Linked DNA regions of Caenorhabditis elegans. The protein of the gene in region 1 purifies or fractionates together with the protein of each later gene. This does not show direct contact. Each region holds a gene or a part of one and is shown on either strand. Other genes may lie near its edges.

Region 1 (4,636 bases):
TCACACGGCGTTGACATAACCATTAAAACATGAAACTCATCAGTAGGAAATGCATAATCTAGACATGACTGACGAGCTGTTACATTGCCTGAACATATTAATTTTTTTCAAATGGGCAAAATTTCCTCTAAATTTACTGGCGTCCGCATATGCTGCTGCTGCTAAATTTAAAAATTGTTCTGCTTCTACTTCCCTGTACAACGCATACCCGGATACTGAATGAAAGAATGTGAGGAGCTGAAAGAAATGCAATAAAGTTTTATTCCATATTAAATCTAATTCGTTCAAAAATGAACACAGCCGAAAAACAAAGAAAAACACTTACCAAATAAACGACGGGTGTGATAGTTATACTTTTGTTACCAGGCTCCATGTGCAAAAATGATAACCGCTTGTCCGCCTGCCTTTGTGTTTGATTTTTGCCATCACGAAGCGCTTATCACCTTTCTGACTGGACTTTTTCTCATGTGTAGAAGACAAGGCAGTAAACGACAGAAAAATAATCGATGTTCTTAGAGAACGTCATTTTTTTTTCTGTCTGACAGGTATTTTTCTTGTTAGTTTTGTGAGTCAGGTCCCTCACTGATATTACCGTTTTGTGTTCGTTTTTTTGGAAAAAAATGGCGTACGTGTAAACTTCAACATGTACATATCGTTTATTGTATTGTTAACTTTCTCTAGAACATAATCAAAAATAATAATTTTCAATTAAATGGAAAACGGTGAACACCCTTATAAATCATGAGAACATGAGAACATGAGAACTTAAAAATTAAAAAACCACACATCTTGCTTTACATTTCTTTCAAAACATCCGAAATTCTGTAGTCTAACTTCATTGTTGCCATCTGATCAGCTCTAGTAGGTCCAATGTTCACGATGAAAATTGGTTTGTTTTGCATATGGGCCTGAAAATTAATTTTTGACGAGTGAGACAAGTAATTTTATTTTAGGAATGTATAAACAGTGTGTAGCCAAAAGTTTTCAAAAAAAAGCCAATAGGAGCGATTTTTATATTTTCTCAGAATTTCTAGTACACGAAGCGAAATTTTGCCAAAAATGTCGAATGTGGTATGATTAAGTAAGTCGGTTTTTTTGACTGTTGTATTTGACAGCAATTAAAAAACATAGTCGCTCTGATTTTTAAAAAAATTGTTTTCTCACATGATTGACAATCTGATATCCGGAAAGCACTTCCAACGATGTCCCAAGTGTTAAAACTCCATTGCATTCATTCACCTTCTTGCCACAAACTTTAATTTTGTCAGTGTTTAGGTTCTCCCCAAACAACGTTACATCTGTCTTCATAAGTCCCCCACAATTTAAACACTCGGGAATCTTGAACCCCTGTAAAACTTTTTTATGCAATTGTTTCTAATTGTTGAAAAAAAAACTTACTTGTTCGCTACCCAACGGCAAGGCAGTGTCAGCATCTAGCTCTTGCTGTCCAGGAGATACAAACTGCTCTTTGAAGCCAGGATTTGCATAATTCAGGCGGTCTTGATACGTTTGTCTGAAATTATAAAAGATGATTTACGCGAGCAATGTCAAAAATAGATATATGTAACTGCTTGTTATTAATAATTTTGAAACAACTAACATTCATTCTATTTTTATCTCAATTCCATTCAAGTACAAACCTGTTTTGGTTCAAAATTGTTCCAAGTATAAAGTTCTAAATTTCAAATTTCAAAACAGTTAGTACCAATTTTTCTTCATTCCTTACCTTGTCTCGATGTATTCACATGATGTGCATTTTACTTGAAGAGCGTTGCCATGAAGTTCCGTTATCATTTTCGAGCCCGCTCTTAACTTTTATTTTAATATTTTCATTTTGTTAACTTCACTTACTTTAAGTGAAGTCCATCCACATTTTGTGTGATCAACCAATGAAATTTGTTAGCAGCTTCCCATTTTGATAAGGCGTAATGATTGAAGTTAGGTAAAGCTTGAGCAAATCTTGGCCAATTCAAGTAGCTACGAGACCAGTATCTGAAGACAAAAGATAATTAAGCATGCCAAAAAGAAAATGTGTTACTGAATCATAAAACCTATAAAATTGTAATGATATTAATACGTGAGAGCAGTTATGAGCCTTTTTTCAAAGTCTTTGGCACAAAGTTTTTATAAATTGAAATATCACAATTGCAAGAGTAAGGCCCAACAAATTTCAAAAGTACTCTCACCTCTGCCTACATTTCTTTGATTTCATAAAATCCTGGAAATAAATTGGTTCAAGTGCAGTCTTTGTGTACAATCCGACATCTTTCGATCGATAATCTGGTATTCCTGAAAATGAAAACTATATTGTACCTGATTGTACCTGTACCTGAAAAAAAACCTGATTCTGTAGAAATTCCTGCTCCAGTGATGATGAGAAGCTTATCCACAGTCCCTACCAGTGACTTAAACTTTTTTAGGGAGTTTTCACAAAGCTCTGTCGTATGTGGTACATACTTTCGTGCCATTCCTAAAATACTGTCGAAGATGAATTGATTGTCAAAACAAGTGAAAATAATGAAGAACAATAAGAACAGTTTTTTTTTTAATTTTATTCATAAACGTTATTGAAAAATTATTCACAAGAGTTTCGAGTCCGGATCTTACAGCTAATTGTGTTGAATCACGTTCATTCAAAAAACCCTTAAAAATATATCTTTGGATGAATCGCGCTCTATTTGCACAGGCGAGAGAGTAGAGTAGAGAAATCCAGTAACCTCTTCCTGTATTGCCAAGGAAAACGCCGGCAGAGAGTGCGGGTCCGCCGAAAATGAAAGAATAATGGGAGACCAACCAACAGCTGGAAGATTATCTAGGTACAGAACAAAGTCCACAATTTTTTTGATAGCAAGGTTTTAAAAATAATTGTTTAATGAGGAAATAAAATATTTGACAAAATTGATAATAAAAATCTAACCTTACGAAGGTGTTGAAATAGTTTAAATCATGTCATCAAAGCAATATGGTGCGATGTTTAAAATGATCATCCCATTGGGAATCTTGATTTAAAAAAAAAAACTACTACTAAAGAAGAATCATAAACTTTAAAAAAGAACTAAGCAAGTTATCCTTGATGAACAAAAAGTGATTATATTCTCATAATATAGAAAAGCTGTTTGGTAAAATATTTGAGTCTATCTCCTAATTCCAGGATTTTGTTTTGCCAATTTTGTTACTTTTTTTGCAGGAGTAGATGATTTTTTTTCTGAAAATAACGCATTTTCACAATCATATTCATCAAAAATTGTTTATTCCAATTAACATGAAACAAATTGCCATTCTATTCAAACAATAAAAAAAAGTTTCAAAATACAAACGGAAAGTACCCAAAAAACTGTCGTCAACACAATATTATCAAATTCCAAAACTACACGTCTTAGTCTACATTTCTTTTAAAACGTCAGAGATTTTATAATCTAACTTCATCGTCGCCATGTGATCAGCTCTTGTAGGTCCTATATTGACTATGAAAATTGGTTTCTTCTTCATGTTAGCCTGAAAGTTTACATTTTTATTTTTGAAGGACTCTTAACAATCTAAAAAAGTTGTTTGAAATTTTTTTAAATAGTTAATTTTTGTGCTACCCACGGAAACATCAAAACGTTTTTGTTTTTAGATAACCAAAAAAGTCATCCAGTAAATCCCATTAGCCTTACATGATGGATAAACCGAAATCCAGATAACACCGCCAACGACGTGCCAAGTGATAAAATCCCATCACATTCATTCACTTTCTCGTAACAAAAATTGACTTTGTCCATGTTAACGTTCTCTCCAAAAAACGTGACATCTGTCTTCATAAGTCCCCCACAACTTGGGCACTCGGGAATTTGGAAACCCTGAAAACACTGTATTTTTCGACTTATTCCACCGTAAAACACTTACTTTCTCAGTTCCCAACGGTAGAATAATGTCACCATCTGGCGCCAGCTCTCCTGGAGCCACGTGTTCTTCTTTAAACCCAGGATTTGCGTAATCAAGTCGGTCTTGGTACGTTTGTCTGAAGTTGAAACGTTTTAATTTTATGAGATCCCTTATAAAATAAACGGTTATTTTTACGTTCACAAACCGAAATGTGAAGTGGCCTATTAGATACATTAAGAGGCGTCCATACTCTCTTAGATTGTCTGCCATTCCACACATTCAGGAAGTGGAGTGAAATCGAAAAGTCAATGAAGTTACAATGATCAAACATTATCAATTAGGAAGAATGTACGTTAATTAAAATATGTTATAAGGAAGTTCACCGATACATTTTAGAGGAAGTTTCAACATTTTAGTTAAAATGTTATCTTTTCGTTTTTTTTAAATCCAAATATGTATAACAATCCTTTTTTCTACGCTACATGTGATTGTTCAATTTTAGTAAATCATCATTTGTTTTAGCTTTTATCAAACAATTCCTCATTGAGAAATTGTTTTTTTTTTTCCATAATTGAGTTGATTCAGTCCAATGTACCTTGATTCAATGTAATCACATGTTGTACATTTTACTTGAAGAGCACTGCCATGAAGTTCCGTTACCATTTTTGAGCCCGCTCTGAATTAAAAAAAAATTTTAACTCATTTTTGACCGTCTTTACTTTAAGTGAAGCCCATCCACGTTTTGTGTGATTAACCATTGGAATCTATCGGA
Region 2 (6,908 bases), on another chromosome or scaffold:
TTTAATTTTATTAAATGTGTTTCATTGATCATTAAATATCATTATGTTGATCTTTAAAGTGAACTTAATTAAATCATTTTTATTTTCAGCCCTTTACGAAAATTAACTATCCCACTACGACCAAAAACAGTTTTGAACATTTTGACATTTTGAAAAATCGAAGGTTCTGAAGTTTAAATCATTTATCCTCCTCCTCTGCGTCTCAGTTTTTGTGTTCTAGTGTCCACCCGAGTCGACTGATAAGACAAAATGACACAAACACCGTCTCTCGGCTATCAGTTTGTTGTCGCCGCAAATTCATAGCCATGGTCAAAGTGTTGATCTAGTTCTCTTTGAATCTAGATTTTTTTCAAATTTTTAACTTGATTGTGATACTCTAAGACATTTTATATCTTTAAATCCGCAAAATTAAAAAAAATTATTATAGTGCGTCCATAGTCTGCGGAAAACGGGAATTTCCCGCGTGCGGAAGCGTCCATAGTCTGCGGAAAAACCGGAGTTCCTCGCTTTTTTTTTCCTCAAAATTCAAAAAGTAGGCGTGGCCAACCAATCAGCTGTTGTTTCTTGTTTTCCCATTGCTCAGCTTAAAATTTTACAGCCTCTAATTGGTTGAACACGCCCACTATTTTGAAATTGACCAATAACAAAGCGAGAAACTCCTTGTTTTTTTCCGCAGACTATGGACGCTTCCGCACGCGGGAATTCCCCGTTTTCCGCAGACTATGGACGCACCATTAACACTAATCCCCGAGATATCAAAAAAAAAAACTAACGATAGAACAGCAAAAAATATTGGAATATTTGGCCGTGCGGAATAGATATTTAATATGGCATGCTCATAAACCATTCTAAAAACTAATTTTCTAATTTTACAAAAATCCAAAACTGAATGTTGAACGTTCTGTGGCTTCTGTAGTTTCTGTAGTTTCTGATAACTTCCTTCTTTGTTTACTTTTATTTTTTTCAATTTTCCTTATTTTCTCTAGGTTCTTCGTCTGGTCTTGGGTATGCCACGTGGTTCTTCTTTCACATCTCATTTCACCGAAAAAACCTAGAAAATCGAAAAACAAAATATTTTATTTTCTTCCCTTCTCCTATCATTCTATCAATGTTATCAGTACTGTTGTTATTCTTCTCTACAAATATCACTAGGTGGTTCTATGGAGAATGAACAATGATTTTTAAATCAATTAATGTATCTTCATACATACACTCACTCTCATGTGGTGTGACCTCTTGGTCTTTTCAAAATCTCTATTGCTCTGCGTACGTGACCTTTCACATTTTTCACCGTTCTAATTTATCACGTGGTCAACGTGGATACTTCTAAAAATCTCAAATAATGTCCGAATTCCGAAGAAGTTTACCACACTTCGATTCGTTCTTGAGCTTTCTGCTCTCACACAGTAGAAGGTACACCAAAGTAATGTTTCTGTGTCTCTTCGATGTTCACACTATCATTATTGAATAATCTTCATTGGTTGTATTCACCGAATAGGTTCACCGTCTCAAAACTATGCATGTTTCAGATAAACGACAACGATGCGGTTCTCCCGCATCCCACCGATCTTCGCTAATGTCGTCCGACAGACACATTATCGTAACTATGCCAATGGAGTTATCAAACCAAGAGAATTCAACAAGGTATTTCATTTCTTTTTCGTGCTTGAAGATAAATTCGGAAATTTTTTCAGGTTATGGTGGCCAATCGTGGAGAAATTGCAATCCGTGTGTTCCGTGCCCTCACAGAATTGAACAAAACTTCTGTTGCGATTTACGCCGAGCAGGACAAAAACTCGATGCATCGTCTGAAAGCTGACGAAGCCTATCTTGTAGGAAAAGGTCTTCCACCGGTTGCTGCTTATCTGACTATTGACCAGATTATAGAAACTGCCCTGAAGGTTTGTAGGACAAAAATTGACCAAGATTATCGTACCCTTTATAGCACAACATTGATGCTATTCATCCCGGATATGGATTTCTGTCAGAGCGATCTGACTTTGCAGCTGCTTGTCAAAATGCAGGAATAGTGTTCATTGGTCCTAGCCCCGACGTTATGGCTCGAATGGGAGACAAAGTTGCTGCTCGTCAAGCTGCCATTGAAGCTGGTGTTCAAGTCGTTCCAGGAACTCCTGGACCAATTACAACTGCTGATGAAGCTGTCGAATTTGCAAAGCAGTACGGTACACCAATTATTTTGAAGGCCGCTTATGGAGGAGGTGGTCGTGGAATTCGTCGTGTTGATAAATTGGAAGAAGTTGAAGAGGCATTCCGTAGATCCTACTCGGAAGCTCAAGCTGCGTTTGGAGACGGAAGTCTTTTCGTTGAAAAGTTTGTTGAGAGACCAAGACATATTGAAGTTCAGCTGCTTGGTTAGTTTCAGCGGAAACTATTATAATTACATAATATATTTTTCAGGAGACCATCATGGAAATATTGTTCATTTGTATGAGCGTGATTGTTCAGTGCAACGTCGTCATCAAAAGGTTGTTGAAATTGCTCCAGCGCCAGCTCTCCCAGAAGGTGTTCGTGAGAAAATTTTGGCAGACGCTCTTCGACTTGCAAGACATGTTGGATACCAAAATGCTGGTACAGTCGAATTCCTGGTTGATCAGAAGGGCAACTACTATTTCATCGAAGTGAATGCACGTCTTCAAGTCGAGCATACAGTAACTGAAGAGATCACTGGTGTGGATCTTGTCCAAGCTCAAATTCGTATCGCCGAAGGAAAATCTCTGGATGATCTGAAGCTTTCACAGGAAACTATTCAAACTACTGGCTCAGCTATTCAATGTCGTGTCACAACTGAAGATCCAGCTAAAGGATTCCAGCCAGATTCCGGAAGAATTGAAGTTTTCCGATCCGGAGAGGGAATGGGAATTCGTCTTGATTCAGCATCTGCCTTCGCAGGATCAGTCATTTCACCTCACTACGATTCTTTGATGGTCAAAGTAATTGCATCGGCTAGAAATCATCCGAACGCTGCCGCAAAAATGATTCGTGCCCTCAAAAAGTTCCGTATCCGAGGCGTAAAGGTGAGAATTCAATCAAAAAATGAAATCAAAGTACACCAAATCATGTTGATAGCTATCACCATTTTCTCACTGATAAGGAAACCCATTGCCACTGACTGATATTCTGCCTGATGGCTGATCAATGACTAAACTTTAAACTTTTTCAGACAAACATCCCATTTCTGCTCAACGTTCTTCGCCAGCCCAGCTTCCTTGATGCATCCGTCGATACGTATTTCATTGATGAGCATCCAGAGTTGTTCCAATTCAAACCAAGCCAAAACCGTGCTCAAAAGTTGTTGAACTATTTGGGAGAAGTTAAGGTGAACGGTCCAACTACTCCTCTTGCTACTGACCTGAAACCAGCAGTTGTTTCTCCTCCGATCCCATACATCCCAGCTGGAGCCAAACCGCCGACTGGACTTCGTGATGTACTTGTTCAAAGAGGACCAACTGAGTTTGCAAAGGAAGTTCGCAGTAGACCAGGATGTATGATCACTGATACTACATTCAGGTATAAACTCAAAAAGAAAGTAACATATATTAATTTCACATTTTCAGAGATGCACATCAATCTCTTCTTGCAACACGAGTACGTACCTATGATATGGCTGCTATTTCACCTTTTGTTGCCCAATCATTCAATGGTCTCTTCTCACTTGAAAACTGGGGAGGAGCTACTTTCGATGTTTCCATGCGCTTCCTCCACGAGTGTCCATGGGAACGTCTTCAAACTCTTCGCAAACTGATTCCAAATATTCCATTCCAATGTCTTCTGCGAGGTGCCAATGCTATGGGATATTCAAATTATCCTGATAACGTTATTTACAAGTTCTGCGAGTTGGCGGTGAAAAATGGAATGGATGTGTTCCGTGTATTTGATTCACTGAACTATCTTCCAAATCTTCTCGTCGGAATGGAAGCCGTTGGAAAGGCCGGTGGAGTTGTTGAAGCTGCTATCGCATACACTGGAGATGTTACCGATAAGTCTCGTGACAAATACGACCTCAAATACTATTTGAACTTGGCTGATCAACTTGTCAAAGCTCAAGCGCATATTCTTTCTATCAAGGATATGGCTGGAGTTCTGAAACCGGAAGCTGCCAAGTTGTTGATTGGCGCTCTCCGAGACAAGTTCCCAGATATTCCAATTCACGTTCATACCCACGATACATCTGGAGCTGGAGTTGCTGCTATGCTTGAGTGTGCCAAAGCTGGAGCTGATGTGGTCGATGCTGCAGTTGATAGCATGAGTGGAATGACTTCTCAGCCTTCAATGGGAGCTATTGTAGCTAGTCTTCAAGGAACTAAACATGATACTGGTGAGTTACAATATCGTTTGAAAAATGTCTAATTTATATTTAAGGTCTTTCTCTTGATGACATTTCAAAATATTCTGCATACTGGGAGTCAACTCGTCAACTCTATGCTCCATTCGAATGTGCCACCACCATGAAAAGTGGAAATGCCGATGTTTACAAGCACGAAATTCCAGGAGGACAGTACACGAACTTGCAATTCCAAGCATTCTCTCTCGGACTTGGGCCACAGTTCGATGAAGTCAAGCGTATGTATCGTGAAGCTAATCTTGTTCTTGGCGACATAATTAAAGTTACGCCATCATCCAAGATTGTCGGTGACTTGGCTCAGTTTATGGTGCAAAACAACTTGACTCGCGAAACTCTTGTCGACCGTGCCGATGATCTATCCTTCCCAAAAAGTGTCGTTGATTTCATGCAAGGAAATGTCGGACAACCTCCATATGGATTCCCTGAGCCATTGAGAACTAAAGTCCTTCGTGGAAAGCCAAAAGTCGATGGAAGGCCAGGAGAAAATGCTAAGCCAGTTGATCTAGATGCTGTGAAGGTCGAACTTGAAGAGAAACATGGACGTACTTTGTCTGAAGAAGATGTGATGTCATATTCGATGTTCCCAACGGTTTTCGATGAGTTTGAGACTTTCCGTCAACAATATGGACCAGTTGATAAGCTGCCAACGAGACTCTTCTTGACTGGATTGGAGATTGCGGAAGAAGTTGATGTAAGTGATTCTACATTAATCTACATTTCTGAATTTCACGACTTATGAATTTTATTTCAGGTTGAAATCGAGAGTGGAAAAACTCTTGCAATTCAATTGCTCGCTGAAGGAAAACTAAACAAGCGTGGAGAACGCGAAGTCTTCTTTGATCTCAATGGACAAATGAGAAGTATCTTCGTGGTTGACAAGGAAGCTTCCAAGGAAATTGTAACTCGCCCAAGAGCTCTCCCAGGTGTCCGTGGACATATTGGAGCACCAATGCCAGGAGATGTTTTGGAGCTGAAAATCAAGGAAGGCGACAAGGTAATACAACGCATATCTAAAGATGTAATAAATCAATCATGCATCCGGGATATGTATTCTGAATTTCTTTGAAAAACAAAAAAAGACAAATGGGACGAATTCAGAAGCGGTGGGCCCCACAACGGAAATTGTAGGGAAAAACGGAAAGAGATAAATTTATAGCCTTATGCCTCCCACGTTTTTTCTTCTTGTCCTACACAAAAATCACATAAAAAAATGATGGCATAAAAAATGAATATAGGAATTATTTCTTTTCAGGTTACCAAGAAGCAACCCCTATTTGTGCTTTCCGCCATGAAAATGGAGATGGTCATCGACTCTCCAATTGCTGGAACCGTCAAGGCTATCCATGCACCACAAGGAACCAAATGTAGTGCCGGAGACTTGGTAGTTGAAGTTGAACCATGAACTGACATCAATAAACTCGCATTTTGTCTCTTTTTTTGTTAATTCCATTCACCATCACAAATTCCGCCACATCGAAATTATATTTGGCGTTGTGCTATATAGAATGATTAGCCACCACCTTCTCTTTGCCATTCGAACCATCTCAATGTGTATATTCTGTGTATTGCCTCCCCAAAATTTTCTAAACGTCTTCATTGCCAGTAATTTTTCGTTTTCCCTCCACTTTTGCATTTATATTGTTTTCTTAGAAAAAGTATTTATTGCATCGGGTGCTCATTGTCTTTGTGTAGAATATAAACTCGTTCACTTCTCTCTCAATTTTATCACTGAAACTCACCGAAGAGCAATGCAACTCGATAAAGCAACTCGATAAAATCAATTATTACGTAGAAATCTAATGATGGGAAGAGTCGCCATATCATACGCGCATTGGTCTCGCCACGCGAACTGCGAGCTAGCTCGTCTCACTTTACTGACCACTATTGCTGAGAAGATTTTTAACATAAAAATAGGTTGCAATGGAGACTCATAAATCAACAGGAGTTACAGTAATTTCGTGTTTGCTGGGGAAAATGTTTATCTTTAGACTTCTACATAATACCTACGTTAGTGTAAATAGTACTATTCACTACGCCATTTAATTTAAAAAAAACAAAACACAAATTATAGAGACTGAAATATCTGAAAAGAAAACGTATGTTTTAAAGTTTTATTTATTTTACTTGGGAATGGTTTCAGAGAATTTAGAATTTTAAAACAAATTTAGTGCCATTCGATAGCTGATATTATGTACTTCTTCAACGTAAGAGACCATTTTTGCCTCGGACATCTAGAACTCGAGATATTTGCGTCTGAAAATTACTACTGATTTCAGTTGATTTTCAACGTAAGCCCAACTATTTATTTCATATGGTTAAGAGTTTTTACGTGAACAGAATATACTTCAAAAAGATTTTTATTTATTTATTGTCAGTTCAAAATCACGGCTCTGTGGCTCAACGGTTCTGGGCTCATGATCAGATGATCCAAAGTTCAATATCCTGAAGTCTAACGTTTTTTTGCAATTTTTTACAGTGGCATAGGATTGTTCATATAGGGCAGACAGAACATTTTGACCCGTTTAAAATATGATTGTTTTTTCTT

What was found.
Region 2: the proteins of sir-2.3 (region 1) and pyc-1 purify together in Caenorhabditis elegans (affinity purification with western blotting, with the first as the bait; one study listed by BioGRID). This does not show direct contact.

Annotation. Positions count from the first base shown.
Region 1 is NC_003284.9:13,329,848-13,334,483, reverse strand, and holds sir-2.3 (NAD-dependent protein deacylase sir-2.3), read right to left. Parts: upstream 2,471-4,636; 5' UTR 2,469-2,470; coding exon 2,342-2,468; intron 2,290-2,341; coding exon 2,187-2,289; intron 1,993-2,186; coding exon 1,852-1,992; intron 1,808-1,851; coding exon 1,727-1,807; intron 1,514-1,726; coding exon 1,399-1,513; intron 1,348-1,398; coding exon 1,165-1,347; intron 909-1,164; coding exon 795-908; 3' UTR 638-794; downstream 1-637. Other genes in the region: F46G10.4 (Fungal lipase-type domain-containing protein), read right to left, coding at 1-88, 138-237, 326-373; NAD-dependent protein deacylase sir-2.2, read right to left, coding at 3,382-3,495, 3,657-3,839, 3,886-4,000, 4,460-4,540, 4,584-4,636. UniProt on the Caenorhabditis elegans protein: NAD-dependent protein deacylase. Catalyzes the NAD-dependent hydrolysis of acyl groups from lysine residues. Plays a role in oxidative stress resistance.
Region 2 is NC_003283.11:11,816,987-11,823,894, reverse strand, and holds pyc-1 (Pyruvate carboxylase 1), read left to right. Parts: upstream 1-1,529; 5' UTR 1,530-1,542; coding exon 1,543-1,644; intron 1,645-1,694; coding exon 1,695-1,901; intron 1,902-1,945; coding exon 1,946-2,372; intron 2,373-2,418; coding exon 2,419-3,035; intron 3,036-3,181; coding exon 3,182-3,528; intron 3,529-3,575; coding exon 3,576-4,336; intron 4,337-4,380; coding exon 4,381-5,054; intron 5,055-5,114; coding exon 5,115-5,357; intron 5,358-5,615; coding exon 5,616-5,765; 3' UTR 5,766-6,112; downstream 6,113-6,908. UniProt on the Caenorhabditis elegans protein: Pyruvate carboxylase catalyzes a 2-step reaction, involving the ATP-dependent carboxylation of the covalently attached biotin in the first step and the transfer of the carboxyl group to pyruvate in the second.